2 linked regions of the Stegostoma tigrinum genome follow. The protein of the gene in region 1 purifies or fractionates together with the protein of each later gene. This does not show direct contact. Links are inferred from orthologs where the notes say so. Each region holds a gene or a part of one and is shown on either strand. Other genes may lie near its edges.

Region 1 (7,418 bases):
ATGTTCCTCTGTTCTCTCCTAAGTCTTGGTCAATATTTATCCCTCAGCCAATGTCACTGGTCGTGATCTTGTTACTGTTTAGTTTTTGTGCACAAATCCATTCCATGTCCTGTGTCACGGTAATTCCTTCAAAAAACCCTTCATTGGGTACAGTGCATTCAATGACATCCTTGGACATGAAATGCATTTTACATATGCAAACTCCTCTTTCATGCAGTAGGGGTCAAAATTGTAAAAAGTGATGATGTGGAGGTGCCAGTGTTGGACTGGGGTGGACAAGATCAGAAATCACACAACACCAGGTTGTCATCCAACAGGTTTATTTGAAAACACAAGCTTCTGGAGCCTCAGATAATAAAATGTGAGGCTGGATAAACACAGCAGGCCCAGCAGCATCTCAGGAGCACAAAAGCTGACGTTTCGGGTCTAGATCCAAGGGTCTAGGCCCGAAATGTCAGCTTTTGTGCTCCTGAGATGCTGCTGGGCCTGCTGTGTTCATCCAGCCTCATATTTTATTATCTTGGATTCTCCAGCATCTGCAGTTCCCATTATCTCTTCTGGAGCCTCAGTCCTTCTTCAGATGTTAGTGCACATTCAAAGGGCACTGGGAACTGGATTTGCTTCTCTCAGGCACACATACTTGACACCTTCACAACACCCCTGCTGTTAGTTCAGCAACTTCCACCACAGAGCCTACTACCACTTAGCAGATAACTAGTTCATTATCACAGGGTTGTTTGCGGCAGGGTGCTGAGATCAAACTGGTTGCTGCACCTCCCAGATTGCAACTGCATTTCTAAACATTAATTTCTAGTTATCTGTAGCTAATCTTGAATGAAATTAATGTACGTTTTAAAGCAAATACCAAGGACATCCAAGAAAAATATGATCTTTTAAAAACTGTCCCTTGGTAGAATAGAACATGAATATTCTGTAGACAGTGGCATTTTGCTTCAGCTTTTCGCCTGTACTGATAAAGAGTGTCAAATTTGAAATGAGCTGAACAATTTACATTAAGAGAGAAAGTATGCTGATTATTAGGGTCAAGATACAGACACAGAATCAAATCAGCCTTTCTACCTCTGTATTTGCAACACAGTAAAATTAAACCATCAGAGGTGCCCAATAGTTACTCCAATGGTTCCTAACCAGACAATTCAATAATCAATCCCAGACTTTGTCAATAATTAATTTCAGACACTGTTTTTGCATCACAAACAAGAAATTTAACCCTTAGTACATACACAATAGCTACAACAGAAAAAAATACTTAAACAACAACATAATCAGATTAATATCTATGCTTTAAACCCGAAACATTTGTTATCATTTACACAGAAGACAGACATACAAAAAAACACAATTAAAGGATTTTGAAAGAAAATAATGGAACTGGCCAGATTAGTTAAACAGCTTTCACAATGTGTTATACTGTCAGAGAGATGTACAACATGGAAATAAGACACTTTGGAACAACTCATCCATGCTGACCAAATTAATCTAGTCCCATTTACCAGCAAGTTGTCCATATCCCTCCAAACCCTTCCTATTCATTTACACATCCAGAGGCTTTTCACAAGTTGTAATTGTACCACACTCCACCACTTCCTCTGGCAGCCCATTCCATTCACGCACCACCCTCCGCACAGAAGTTATCCCTTACGTCCTTTTTCAATCTTTCCCATCTCACCTTAAACATATGTACTCAAAGATTTGGATTTACCCATCCCAGGGGAAAAACATCAGCTATTCATCCTCCATGCCCCTCATGATTTTATAAATCCCTGTAGGTCAGCCCTCAGCCTCCGACAGTTTCACAGGCATAGATGTGGAGAGCTTGGTTGCTTTTCAGGAATAATCAATCAGGGTCACCTTCTCAGCTCATTCAGGAAAAGGTGGTAATGCTTCTAATACATCTTTCTAATCTCTGGGCTTCCAAAAGCTGGTCTGGGAGATTAGGCAGGGTCTTTACAATTTGACATGCTGCTTCATACTAGCCAAGCTCATTTCCTTCAGATAACACAATTCAAAAACAACTCCAACTCCAGTTCCTCCCTAACAGGGGGAATCTATAAGCTTGAAGCTGAAAAAACACAGCAGGTCAGACAGCATCAAAGGAGCAGGAAAGTCAATATATCAAGGTTAAACTGTTTGTCAGGACCTGACGAAAAGTTTCGACCCAAAACATTGATTTTCTGGCTCCTCTGATGCTGTCTGTCCTGCTGTGTTTCTCCAGCCTCACAGCTTTGGACTCTGTAGTCTTTATCGTTTCCTCCCCAATAGACTGTCCGTTCCCAAGGCCTCAATTACATTTCAACATCTGCCATCTGTTTGGACATCGAGTCTCTTCCAGACCTGCTGGAACCAACTCCCAGGTACAAACCTCATTAATAGCCAACTTCAGCTATCTGTTTACATACAATCAGAGATTATGGGAACTGCAGATGCTGGAGAATCCGAGATAATAAAATGTGAGGCTGATGAACACAGCAGGCCAAGCAGCATCTCAGGAGCACAAAAGCTGACGTTTCGGGCCTAGACCCTTCATCAGACCCTCTGAAGGGTCTAGGCCCGAAACGTCAGCTTTTGTGCTCCTGAGATGCTGCTTGGCCTGCTGTGTTCATCCAGCCTCACATTTTATTATCTTGTTTACATACAATTCCTGGATTGCAATGGTTGTAGGAACCCTTTTGGTCAAGAATCAGCTTGTGATCTTCCAGACCTGGCCTGATGAATAAACAAAGGCTTGTTTGATCTGTCCTTTTCCTTCTATCACAAGCTGTTTCACAACATTCACAAGTCATCTTCAGCTCAAGATCAAAACTGATAAAAGAATAAGAAAAATGAAAAAAATCAGCAAGGGTTCCAACAGTAGACAGTTTGACACTGACGGATTGAGGCCTTGCCATGAAGAAAGCACACAAGTTCCCAGGTAATGCAAACAAAAGAAGAATGCAAATCTTAAACATATCCCTTGTGTTTGCAGAGGGTGGGGCTCCACTTTGTGAAGATGAACATTTTTAAAGCTTCAGCAGCTTATTTTCTCATGCAAACTTCTTTGAGACAAACATGAAATTAGAAAGCTTGCAACTGAATACACAAAGGAGAGAAGCAATAAAATACAGGGACTATAGCAGACAGTCATGCCAAGATAGTATCAGAGATAATGGGAACTGCAGATGCTGGAGAATTCCAAGATAATAAAATGTGAGGCTGGATGAACACAGCAGGCCAAGCAGCATCTCAGGAGCACAAAAGCTGACGTTTCAGGCCTAGACCCTTCATCAGAGAGGGGGATGGGGGGAGGGAACTGGAATAAATAGGGAGAGAGGGGGAGGCGGACCGAAGATGGAGAGTAAAGAAGATAGGTGGAGAGAGTGTAGGTGGGGAGGTAGGGAGGGGATAGGTCAGTCCAGGGAAGACGGACAGGTCAAGGAGGTGGGATGAGGTTAGTAGGTAGATGGGTGTGCGGCTTGGGGTGGGAGGAAGGGATGGGTGAGCGGAAGAACCGGTTAGGGAGGCAGAGACAGGTTGGACTGGTTTTGGGATGCAGTGGGTGGGGGGGAAGAGCTGGGCTGGTTGTGTGGTGCAGTGGGGGGAGGGGATGAACTGGGCTGGTTTAGGGATGCAGTAGGGGAAGGGGAGATTTTGAAACTGGTGAAGTTCCACATTGATACCATATGGCTGCAGGGTTCCCAGGCGGAATATGAGTTGCTGTTCCTGCAACCTTCGGGTGGCATCATTGTGGCAGTGCAGGAGGCCCATGATGGACATGTCATCAAGAGAATGGGAGGGGGAGTGGAAATGGTTTGCGACTGGGAGGTGCAGTTGTTTGTTGCGAACTGAGCGGAGGTGTTCTGCAAAGCGGTCCTTTCCTGAGCCCCAAAAGGCAATGCCCAGGAAAAAGATGAACACCACAGCACAAATCAACGTCTAACAAGACATGAGGCAGCCACTGTCTTCATCTATTGTTTCAATGAGATCTAGTTCAGTTCTGTTTAATTCATTGGGGTTAATCCCTGGGTTTCAATAGATTTTCACACCTTCTGGCCCACAGAACCACAAATGCGCAGGCGCAGGCCACTGTTGGCACGCAGGTGCACCGGCCGGGCCCGGCTTCCACGCAGGCGCACTGATGGGACTCAGGTTCGGCGCAGGCGCAGTGGCTGTGCCCCGCTGTGACGCAAGCGCACTCTGCCAGATTCGGGCGCCCCGCGAAGGGAAATTTTTCGTCGGCGCAAAAAAAGGGGAGTTTTTATTTTCCTCCCGGTGCCGGACGTTCCTCCCGGGAGGCAGCGGCGGCAGGAGTAGGAGGACGGAGAGCGGGGGCCAGGCCCGGAATTGACCCGGGAGAGATTCCGCCGCCTGCGGCCTGGATGCTCAGCACTCGGGTAAGAGCAGCGGGGCCTCAGGGTTGAGGAAAGGTTTAAGGCCTTCGGCGAGGGGAAGTGGGGGAATGTGGTGGGGTTGGGGAAGCTCGGAGCCTCGGTAACGGAACGGCGAAGGCGGTGGTCTGTTCTGAAAATAGCCCCCCCCCCCCCCCCCCACCACGATCCCCAACGATTGCGACCTGTGGCCTACCCCCGAGCTTAGTCCTGTTTCTGAGCCTCTCTGGACTCGCTGGGGCAGAACTGTCAGGAACTTGCTGCAGAAACAAAGACAGAACTCTGACCGGCCCCAGGAAACAGCAATGGAGACTTTGCTCCTCCAGCCAGGGCTATAGAACAACATTGTCACTCGATTAAAACACTGGGGCTCAGCGCCGGTAGGGACAGGCCTGTCACTGTATAACACTGGGGTACAGTACCGGTGGGGGACAGGTCTGTCACTGTATAGCACTGGGGCTCAGCGCCGGTGGGGACAGGTCTGTCACTGTATAACACTGGGGTACAGTACCGGTGGGGACAGGTCTGTCTCTGTATAACACTGGGGTACAGCGCCGGTGGGGACAGGTCTGTCACTGTATAACACTGGGGTACAGTACTGGTGGGGACAGGTCTGTCACTGCATAACACTGGGGTACAGTACCGGTGGGGACAGGTCTGTCACTGCATAACACTGGGGTACAGTACCGGTGGGGACAGGTCTGTCACTGAGTAACACTGAGGTACAGTGCCGGTGGGGACAGGTCTGTCACTGTATAACACTGGGGTACAGTACTGGTGGGGACAGGTCTGTCACTGCATAACACTGGGGTACAGTACCGGTGGGGACAGGTCTGTCACTGAGTAACACTGAGGTACAGTACTGGTGGGGACAGGTTTGTCACTGCATAACACTGTGGTACAGTACCGGTGGGGACAGGTCTGTCGCTCTATAACACTGGGGTACATTACCGGTGGGGGACAGGTCTGTCACTGTATAACACTGGGGTACAGTACTGGTGGGGACAGGTCTGTCACTGCATAACACTGGGGTACAGTACCGGTGGGGACAGGTCTGTCACTGCATAACACTGGGGTACAGTACCGGTGGGGACAGGTCTGTCACTGAGTAACACTGAGGTACAGTGCCGGTGGGGACAGGTCTGTCACTGTATAACACTGGGGTACAGTACTGGTGGGGACAGGTCTGTCACTGCATAACACTGGGGTACAGTACCGGTGGGGACAGGTCTGTCACTGAGTAACACTGAGGTACAGTACTGGTGGGGACAGGTTTGTCACTGCATAACACTGTGGTACAGTACCGGTGGGGACAGGTCTGTCGCTCTATAACACTGGGGTACATTACCGGTGGGGACAGGTCTGTCGCTGTATAACACTGGGGTACAGTACCGGTGGGGACAGGTCTGTCGCTCTATAACACTGGGGTACAGCGCCGGTGGGGACGGGTCTGCCGCTGTCTGCCACCGGGGCTCATCGCCGGTGGGGACAGGTCTGTTGCTGTCTAACGCTGGGGCTCAGCGCCGGTGGGGACAGGTCTGCCGCTGTTTAATGATTTAGATTTATTGTCTCATTTTTCACATGTTACATGGAAAGTTTTGCTGTGCTCCAGCATCATCTTGTAACACTGAAAATAATGCAAAGGTTTTACTACAATAGGGCTGATCTCTCTTTCTTCCTGCTTCCCCTCTGCTGCTACTCTGGTTGCTGCTTTACATTGGTCTGAGTCCCTGAAATGGGTTCCTGTGTATCTGTAATGGGCTGTAGGATCTCAGTTGCCTCCATGACTGCTGTATCCAAGTTGTTGCCATGGGCTTAGTGATGTGTGGGTTCTATACCTCCTGTTCCCTATCTGACACTTCTCTAGTCATTGCTGCCAGTCCACTGTCTGTCCCTTTTGTCAATGCTGCCTCTCCTTTGGGTATCCAGACCTAGCTGTGTGCTGGGGTACAGTGGTGGGGAACAGGTTTGTTGCTTTATAATACTGGTGCACAGTATTCGTGGGGCCAGGTCTGTTGCTGTATAACGTGGGTATATTACCAGACAAGACATGTCAGTCCTTGTATAACACTGGTTTACATTATTGATGACAGGTCTGACTTTGTGTAACACTGGGATGTTATAATTTTAACTTATCCAGGAGTGAGGGCCTTTATTTCAAAGGGAATGGAGTATAAAATTAGGGAGGTTTTGCTAAAACTTGAGTCATTGTCAAACCACAGCTGGAGTACTCTGAACAGTTATGGGCCCCTTATCTGAGGAATGATCTACTGGGAATGGAGACAATCTAGAGATGGTTCACTGGATTGATATTAGTTATAGGAACTATCTTATGAAGAAAATTTGAGTAGATTGTGCCTGTACTCATTGGAATTTAGAAGAGTAAGAAGAGACCTTATTGAAACATAGAAGATTCTCAGGAGACTTGACAGGATGGATCCTGTCGAGGAAGATTTTAGGACCAGAGGGCATAATCTCAGAATTGGGGGTTGCACGTATTTCATTGTTCTTTTCAGCGGCACATTTCTGGTCAGACTTTTCTAATCTTGGGTCTGATTCTTTGCTAGTTCTCTTCAATCCCTCCTCTCTGATTAGTCACTCTCCTACATGACAATAGTTGCTTAGTGTCTGCACCATCAAAGCTGCATTACATTACAAGACACCAGGTTATAGTCCGACAGGTTTATTTGAAATCTCAAACTCTCGGAACGCAGCCCCTTCATTAGTTGCAGTGAGAGGAGAGCACATAGACCCCAAGTTAATAGGCAGAGAGATCAAAGGATCATACAACTGGTGTGAGTGAAGTGAACAAACCTAGAATGGCTGGCTGACTGCCTCCTGTTGAATCTTTAATCTTTCATACATTCCTGCATTCTGGAAATTGCAGAAGCAGGGTATGAAGAAAGGAGGTGCAAGTTTTGATTGATTTAAGATGCAAATTCCAGAATCTGTTTCAAGCCACTGCCCCCAGAAAATTAAAGGTTTCATCAGTGTCTGCCTAACTTTCCAATCTTCAAACGGGCAGACTGATAG
Region 2 (7,245 bases), on another chromosome or scaffold:
AATGTGTAGACAAAACATTTTACAGCAAATTACAGATCCAGATTTTTGGAAAGCATTTGACCAAGAATTTATGAAGGAATTACAGGTAAAAGAGCTAAAGAATAAGCTGTAAAATGGATAAAAGACAGGCAGCTATGACTATTAAATATACTAATTATGTCATGGCAATAGCTAGGAGGTCACTCTTACTTGCGTACTTTATTAACATTTTTGACAGGGAGATAATAAGAAATGATAGAAAGTCTAAATATACCAAGGACTATTATATAATAGTATAATATTTGACTGAATTAGCAATTCAGCCAACAGCATTTATGATAATAAATTGCATATAAATGGCACAGTAAAAAATTAGGTCCTAGAGACTACCACCATTTCACAATGAAGATTTAACACTGTAATGCAGATATTAAGACTAACTAAAAGCAAAATACTTAAGATGCAGACAATCTGAAATAACAGAAAGGGCAATGGAAGCTCAGTTCTAGCAGCAGCTGAGGAGAGAAAAACAGTTAAATCGAGCCATTAACTCAATTTCTCTGTTTAAAAAAACCAAAAGAACTGCAGATGCTGTAAATCAGGAACAAAAACAGAAGTTGCTGGAAAAGCTCAGCAGGAACGGCAGCATCTGTGATGAAAACATCAGAGTTAATGTTGCTGGTTTGGTTCTGAGGGTCACCGGACCCGAAATGCTGTTAACTCTGATTTTTTTCCCACTGGTGACCTTTCCTCAGAACTAGACCTGAAACATTAACTCTGATTTTTTTCTTCACAGATGCTGCCAGACCTCGAGCTCAATTTCTCTGTCCGCATATGTTGCCAGGTCTGCTGAGTTTGTCCAGCATTTTCTGTTTTTATTAAGAGAAACTGCAATAATTAAGTGGTCACTTTAAAAAGTTTTAAAAAATTTTAGAAGCACATTTCTTCCTATAAATTCATATACTGTATTTGCAGACTAATTAACTTTCAATTATTTGTAAAGGAATTGGATAATATTATCAATTATACCACCATATGTAGTAATTTTAAGGGCAAATTTACTGTCCAAATTCTGGCACTCATCTCAGTATTCCTCATTTACAGTGGCCAACTAACCAGCAGAGCTTGTCATACAGTCATTGAGATGTACAGCATGGAAACAGACCCTTCTGTCCAACTTGTCCACACCAATCATGTAGCCTAAAATAATCTGGTCCCACTTACTAGCATTTGGCCCATATCCCTATAAACCCATCCTATTCATATAGATGCCTTTTTTAAATGTTTTAATTGTACCAGCGTCCACCACTTCCTCCGCCAGCTCATTCCATACATGCACCACCCTCTGTGTGAAAAAGTTGCCCCTTAGGTTCCTTTCAAATCATTCCCCTCTCACCCTAAACCTATGCCCTGTATTTTTGGACTCCCCTACCCTGGGAAGAAAAGACCTTGGCTGTTCACCCTATCCATACCCACCATGATTTTGTAAGCCTCTATACGGTCACCCCTCAGCCTCCAGGGAAAATAGCCCCAGCCTATTCGGCATCTGCATATAGCTCAAACCTTCCAACCCTGGCAACATCCTTTTGTAAAGCCATTCAATCACAGCATCTTTGTTATAGTAGGGAGGCCAGAACTGAATGCATTATTCCGAAAGTGGCCTAACTAATGTCCTGTGAAGTTGCAACATGACCTCCTAACTGCTATACCCAGGGTAACTTGTGGAGGGTATAATCCAAGCAGCACAATGAATGGGATTGCGGGATCAGGCGGCTGATTAAGAATACTTAAGTTATTGAAGCTCTCATCAGTTACCTTCCAGAGGATAATTCCTGAAAATTAACCAGTATCTTCCCCCGGTGGAGAACTTTTATGAAAAGAAAGATTTACATTATGTAGCACCTTTCATGAGCTCTGGAGGTTCACAAGCACTTCACGCCCAACAAAGTACTTCTGAAGTATACTCAGTATAGCAATGCCTTAGGCTTTGTTAGTTTTTGTTGTGGTAACTTGCAAATATGGCTATTTTAGAAGATATAAAATCATGCACCACTCACTTTTTTTTTACCCAGAGTAGCAAGTTTTATACAATAAATGGAAAACTCCCTAGTTAATGCACAGTTTGGACATCAGACATGCACAGTGCACCTTCTCCAAAAGCAGGTATTGTAGATCTCATAAATTGCATCATCTGAATGATCTTTAATAATGTGAAGAAAAGTTCCAAAGTACTGCACATGCAAGATGAATTAGGATTAGGGGTAGATGCCTGAGCATAAATTCCACTTGGGAAGAGAAAACAGTTCATAGAATCCCTACCATTTCGGTCCATTGAATCCACACTGAACAGCATCCCACCTCGACCCCTATCCTATAACCACTGCTAATCCACCCAACATACACATCCCCCTGTACTATGGACAATTTAGCATGGCCAATCCACCTAAACTGCACATCTTTGGACCATGGGAGAAACTGGAGCACCCAGAGGAAACCCGAGTAGACGCTGGGGAGAATGTCCACGCAGACAGTCACCCGAGGCTGGAATCGAACACGAGTCCCTGAGCTGTGAGACAGCAGCGCTGACCACTGAGCCAGTCACAGAGGCCTCTTGCAAAAGTGCGTGTGCGTCTGTGGCGGTGAGGGGGGATGAAATCCATACGGCTGTGTTACAAATATTTGATCGGCAAGCGCAAACAGGTATCTGTTTTTTTTCTGTGTCTCAGGCACGTACTCCAGGCGCCTGGCACGCTATCAGCACCCTGACGATTGACAAAAGAAGGGAGAGTGTGTTGAGGCGGGCGGCAGGACCCAGAGAGGTGATGGTGGTGGTGGACGGCCCAGAATTTCGCCCCCGACTGACGAGATCAGGGGGGAGGGGAGCAGACAACGGCATCAATCAAGAGACCTTGGACAGTCTAGACCATGTCTCCCCTCCTCCTCTACAAATCACTTCTCGGGAGGATTGTGTTGACAGATCCTCCCCCAAGATCTGGGTCTATTTTCCAGACATGTAACTCCAATTATTTGCATAAACAGTGTGAAAAGTACTCCCGCACACGCAGAACGAAAAAGGAAAAAGAAACTACCTGCACCCAAACTTAGGTCCTTACCCGCAAACCGTTTCGATTGACATGTTCAAACACCATCGTCTAACAACTGACCGAAATTTCAAGGAAGTAACTGACGACCCCGAGATCGCGCATGCGCGGCATCAGCCGAGCACGCCGGGTGTTGTAGTTTGCAGAGACAGCTCCTTACAGGGATGGACGAACGCCCGGACTACATTACCCTGCAGACAGTGCGGCGAGACGATGGACGCCGTCCCACGAGACCGGGCTCCGCCTCCGCGTGCAGGGATTGGGTAACATGCCGTCAGACTATTCCGAAGTCCTGGATACTATTGGTTACAACAGACGCCAATTAAAACGTAGGGCCAATAGACAGCAGGGTCTGCGGATGATTGACAGTCGGGCCCTCTATATTTTCGAGCGCGCGGCTGGCTCGTCCTCTTTCTGTGGGGACGTTGTCTTGGTGGAGGTTGGTTTTTCTTAATGATAAATTATTGGCCTTTATAATCGGTGCAGACAAATCTTTAGCGTCGATTATTCGCGGGGGAATGAGCCAACACGCATTTAACCAATTCAGTTTCTTAAAAGCAGTGCTTAAAATGGGGCAGGGAGCACGTGTTAGTGTCCGGTATCTTCCATTCGGCCTTTCATAACGTTTCCTTCACACACCCCTCAACTCGCTGTCCATTTGTAGTCTCTCCATCTGAAGCATTCACTTTTATTCAGCGCTTTGTGAGTGGCTATGGGGTGGTCGGCCCCATATCGTAAAGGGCAATCGTTTGTTAAGCAGCTTTTGTTGGCGGCCCCTCAAGGGGCTGACCCCGGAAGTCTTTTAGAGGAGCCTGCTAAGCTCTTCAAACTAGCCGCTTTTTGCCTCGGTGTTTGTAACCCAGACACTCTCTCGCCTCTTAAATAATAAAATGTGAGGCAGCAGGAGCACACTCTGACAAGGTCACTAAACATGCAGATAAGAGATCATTAGGGACTGTGTGGTGCAGTATTTTCTGGCACAATGCCAGATGGTCTGTGCTCCTGAGATGCTGCTGGGCCTGCTGTGTTCATCCAGCCTCTCATTTTATTATCTTGGAGCATCTGCAGTTCCTATTATCACTGATACAATTTTAACCTCTCTCGCGTCTTAGTTGTATTTAAATAGTCGCCCACGCCCGTATCGAATGTCTCCAGTGACCGCCACCTTAGCGTACTCCAGGCTGCACAGTTCATGCATCGACTACTTCCTGAGTCACGATTTTCCTCATGTCTGACCTAGGGGTCGTTCACTTCTATCTTCCTTGCTGCTTTTTTCAGGTCACTGTAAATCTGCTAGCACTTTATTGTCCACGTTTACAAGCCAGAACACTTATCCCTACCCGCTGTATTTAGCCTGCTCCTGATTTTGAATTTTCTACATAGAAAATTAGGTTCTTCAACCAACCCTGGTGCTGTTCTAAATTAATCGTGTCTCCCTGAAGCTAGTCTGTATCCCTCAATTTTTTGCCTGCTGTGTATAAATGCTGCAGTCAGTCAAGGTGGCATTGGGAATTCTCTATTGTCTCCCCTTTGGTTCTGTTGTCCATGCTTGGTTGAAATCAGGTTGTGCAATTAGTGACAAATAATGGGAACTGCAGATGCTGGAGAAAAAAGCTTTTTCTGATAAAGGGTCTAGGTCCAAAACGTCAGCTTTTGTGCTCCTAAGATGCTGCTTGGCCTGCTGTGTTCATCAGCTCCACACTCTGACAAGGTCACTAAACATCCAGATAAGAGATCACTAGGGACTGTGTGGTGCAGTATTTTCTGGCAATGCTAGATGGTCTACAGTTTCTTTGTAGAAATTGCCTTGTATGTTAACAATTCCACTCTGCATGGGTCTGGTGCATGTTTCTAATTCAGTAATGTAAATTTGGTTTATTTTGCTTCACTTTGCATTGTATTTTCAGTTAACAAATTACCAACTTGGTCCCCCATTGGGAATAATGTAATCAATTTGGCAGGTGTGACTATACATTTTAGAGTTCAAAAGTTTTCAAAGCTAACTTTGGAAGTGCAGGAGCTCACTTTCAGAATAAAATAACAATAAGCAGCAATTAAGTAGCTTGTACATTTTGGGTGCATGAGGCTGAATTTATGGCAGTGAGTGGTTGAGGTGGATATCAGATCCATTCCTTAAGTGCATGAGCAAGGATTGATTTGTTTCACTATCAAAGAACTGTATGTTGGATATTTGGAGCAGCGTGCAGGGTAAGTTCAGCATATCTGGCAGCACTTAGACAGTTGAGTCTGTCAACCCTTTAATGAAATGCACCACTCTTATTTACTATGCTTGATTACCGTTGGATTTGAGCCTTCATTTTAAAGGGTGGGAGGTATATATCTGCAGTTCTTGATTCTCCCAAATTTGAGTTGTCAATTTAGTGCTACATGAGGGCTGAAATAGTAACAGCTGGTGGGCTGCATTGCCTATTACTGTGCTGTAATTGAGCATTGTTTGGAAAACAATTGTGCATGACACCAACATTACTGCAGTGTAACTTTTTTATATTTTACATGATCACTAGGTATGCAGTTTTCTGACTGGGGGAATGCATCAACTGAATTGTTACGCATGCAGCATTTCTGTTAAAACTGATGTAATGTTGAAGGTGAGTTATATTGCTGGATTTAATCCTGTTGGGGTAGGAGGTTGAGCAGAGGGATCTGAAATGTAGGTATTTCTGTCCCAGAAAAGTTAAAAGCTGTTGCTAAGACACTACTCTTCACTAGCTTAGAGCTGTTATTTCCTGGAGTCTGAAAATTGACCTAATGCTTTTCTATCTTGTATATATGGATTGGAAGCAGAGTTTTGAGAAGATTTGTAGCTCAGGTTGAGGTTCTGAATGTGAATTTGCTTGCTGAGCTGGAAGGTTAGTTTTCAGACGTTTCGTCACCATTCTAGGTAACATCAGTGAGCCTCCGACAAAGCTCACTGATGTTACCTAGAATAGTGACGAAACATCTGAAAACTAACTTTCCAGCTCAGTGAGCAAACTCTCATCCTGGAAGCACACTGCCTGTAAACTGGTGCTGTGTTAAGTTCATCTGGAGAAGATGCTTAACTTAAAACTCCTCTTGTGGGGCAGAAGGCACTGCCTTGTATGAATTGATTTAGTGGATTGCTGCTCTTTCCAATAAAATAGCTTTGTTAAAACAGTAAATTTTATTTTTTGTATACTGTTTGTGGGCAATGTTTTGTTCTGAACAAGTTGAAGTATTGGCCAAGATTGATTTTTAGCCTGTGGCTGTTTAAATATGACCACTAAGCCTGTGATGAGCCTTTCTTTATTTCTGACATCTCCACTGAAAGTGTTGCATCAAAGCAATGCTTGATTATTATTTTTGTGGCTGAGGCTTAATTAGAAAGACGGTTGAAATGAATAGTTTAATGTTAGCTTAGTCTTGTATAACTTCAAACTAAAAATGCTTGGATTCCTGGCAGTGTCTCATGAAACTTAGAACAGTGTGAGTAAGCAGGTAAAAATTAATGGATAACTGCACCCTTGTTCTAGTTAATCTAATATGGCTGAATACATTGCTCGGAGTGCCAGTGTGAAGTACTAAGCAAACTTTAAAATAGTGAATTTCAAGAACTTTGCAAATGCTCAGTATGAAATGCATCTTTCTGACATCTGGTGTTATGTTAAAGTAATGCATGATTATTTGAGATTAATTTTAATTAACTTTTTGTGTTTTCAATATTCTTGAAAATACAAAGGGGACACCACTGCAGATTGGATGGGCTTTTGAAAAGCCAGAAGTCAGATAACACCATCTATGCTTGGACTATAACCTGGTCATGTGACCTTGGACTGTGTCCACCCTGGTGCGACATCAGCTTCACCACACTTTGTAAAGGCAGACAGGTAATTGAACTTGAGGCAATTTCAGGGTCCAGATCACTAATGGGTCCTTGCTGTCTTGTATGGCTCACAGGTAAAGTAGCCTGTGTAGAAAATGTTAGTAGACATTAACACGGTTTACAAGACTGCTTTTTTTGTAGAAGTAATTTATGTATTAAACTTTACAAATGGTGAACAGTTTTCTGACTTTTTAATGAAGGTGATGCATTAAAATGCTTGATCATTGTGGTGTCTGAGGGTTGATCAGAAATGTAATTTTTTTAAATTACCTGTACTTCAGGTGCAGCAGTAACTACTGATGG

What was found.
Region 2: the proteins of map3k2 (region 1) and traf7 purify together in Homo sapiens (affinity purification with mass spectrometry; 3 studies listed by BioGRID and IntAct, with this or other methods). This does not show direct contact. The link is inferred for Stegostoma tigrinum from reciprocal best matches to the Homo sapiens genes MAP3K2 and TRAF7.

What each region holds. Positions count from the first base shown.
Region 1 is NC_081360.1:103,957,780-103,965,197, reverse strand, and holds the start of map3k2 (mitogen-activated protein kinase kinase kinase 2), read left to right. Parts: upstream 1-4,188; 5' UTR 4,189-4,391; intron 4,392-7,418. UniProt on the Homo sapiens protein: Component of a protein kinase signal transduction cascade. Regulates the JNK and ERK5 pathways by phosphorylating and activating MAP2K5 and MAP2K7. Plays a role in caveolae kiss-and-run dynamics.
Region 2 is NC_081376.1:38,848,438-38,855,682, reverse strand, and holds the start of traf7 (E3 ubiquitin-protein ligase TRAF7), read right to left. Parts: upstream 3,185-7,245; 5' UTR 3,093-3,184; exon of another isoform or gene 3,069-3,092; intron 1-3,068. UniProt on the Homo sapiens protein: E3 ubiquitin and SUMO-protein ligase that plays a role in different biological processes such as innate immunity, inflammation or apoptosis. Potentiates MAP3K3-mediated activation of JUN/AP1 and DDIT3 transcriptional regulators.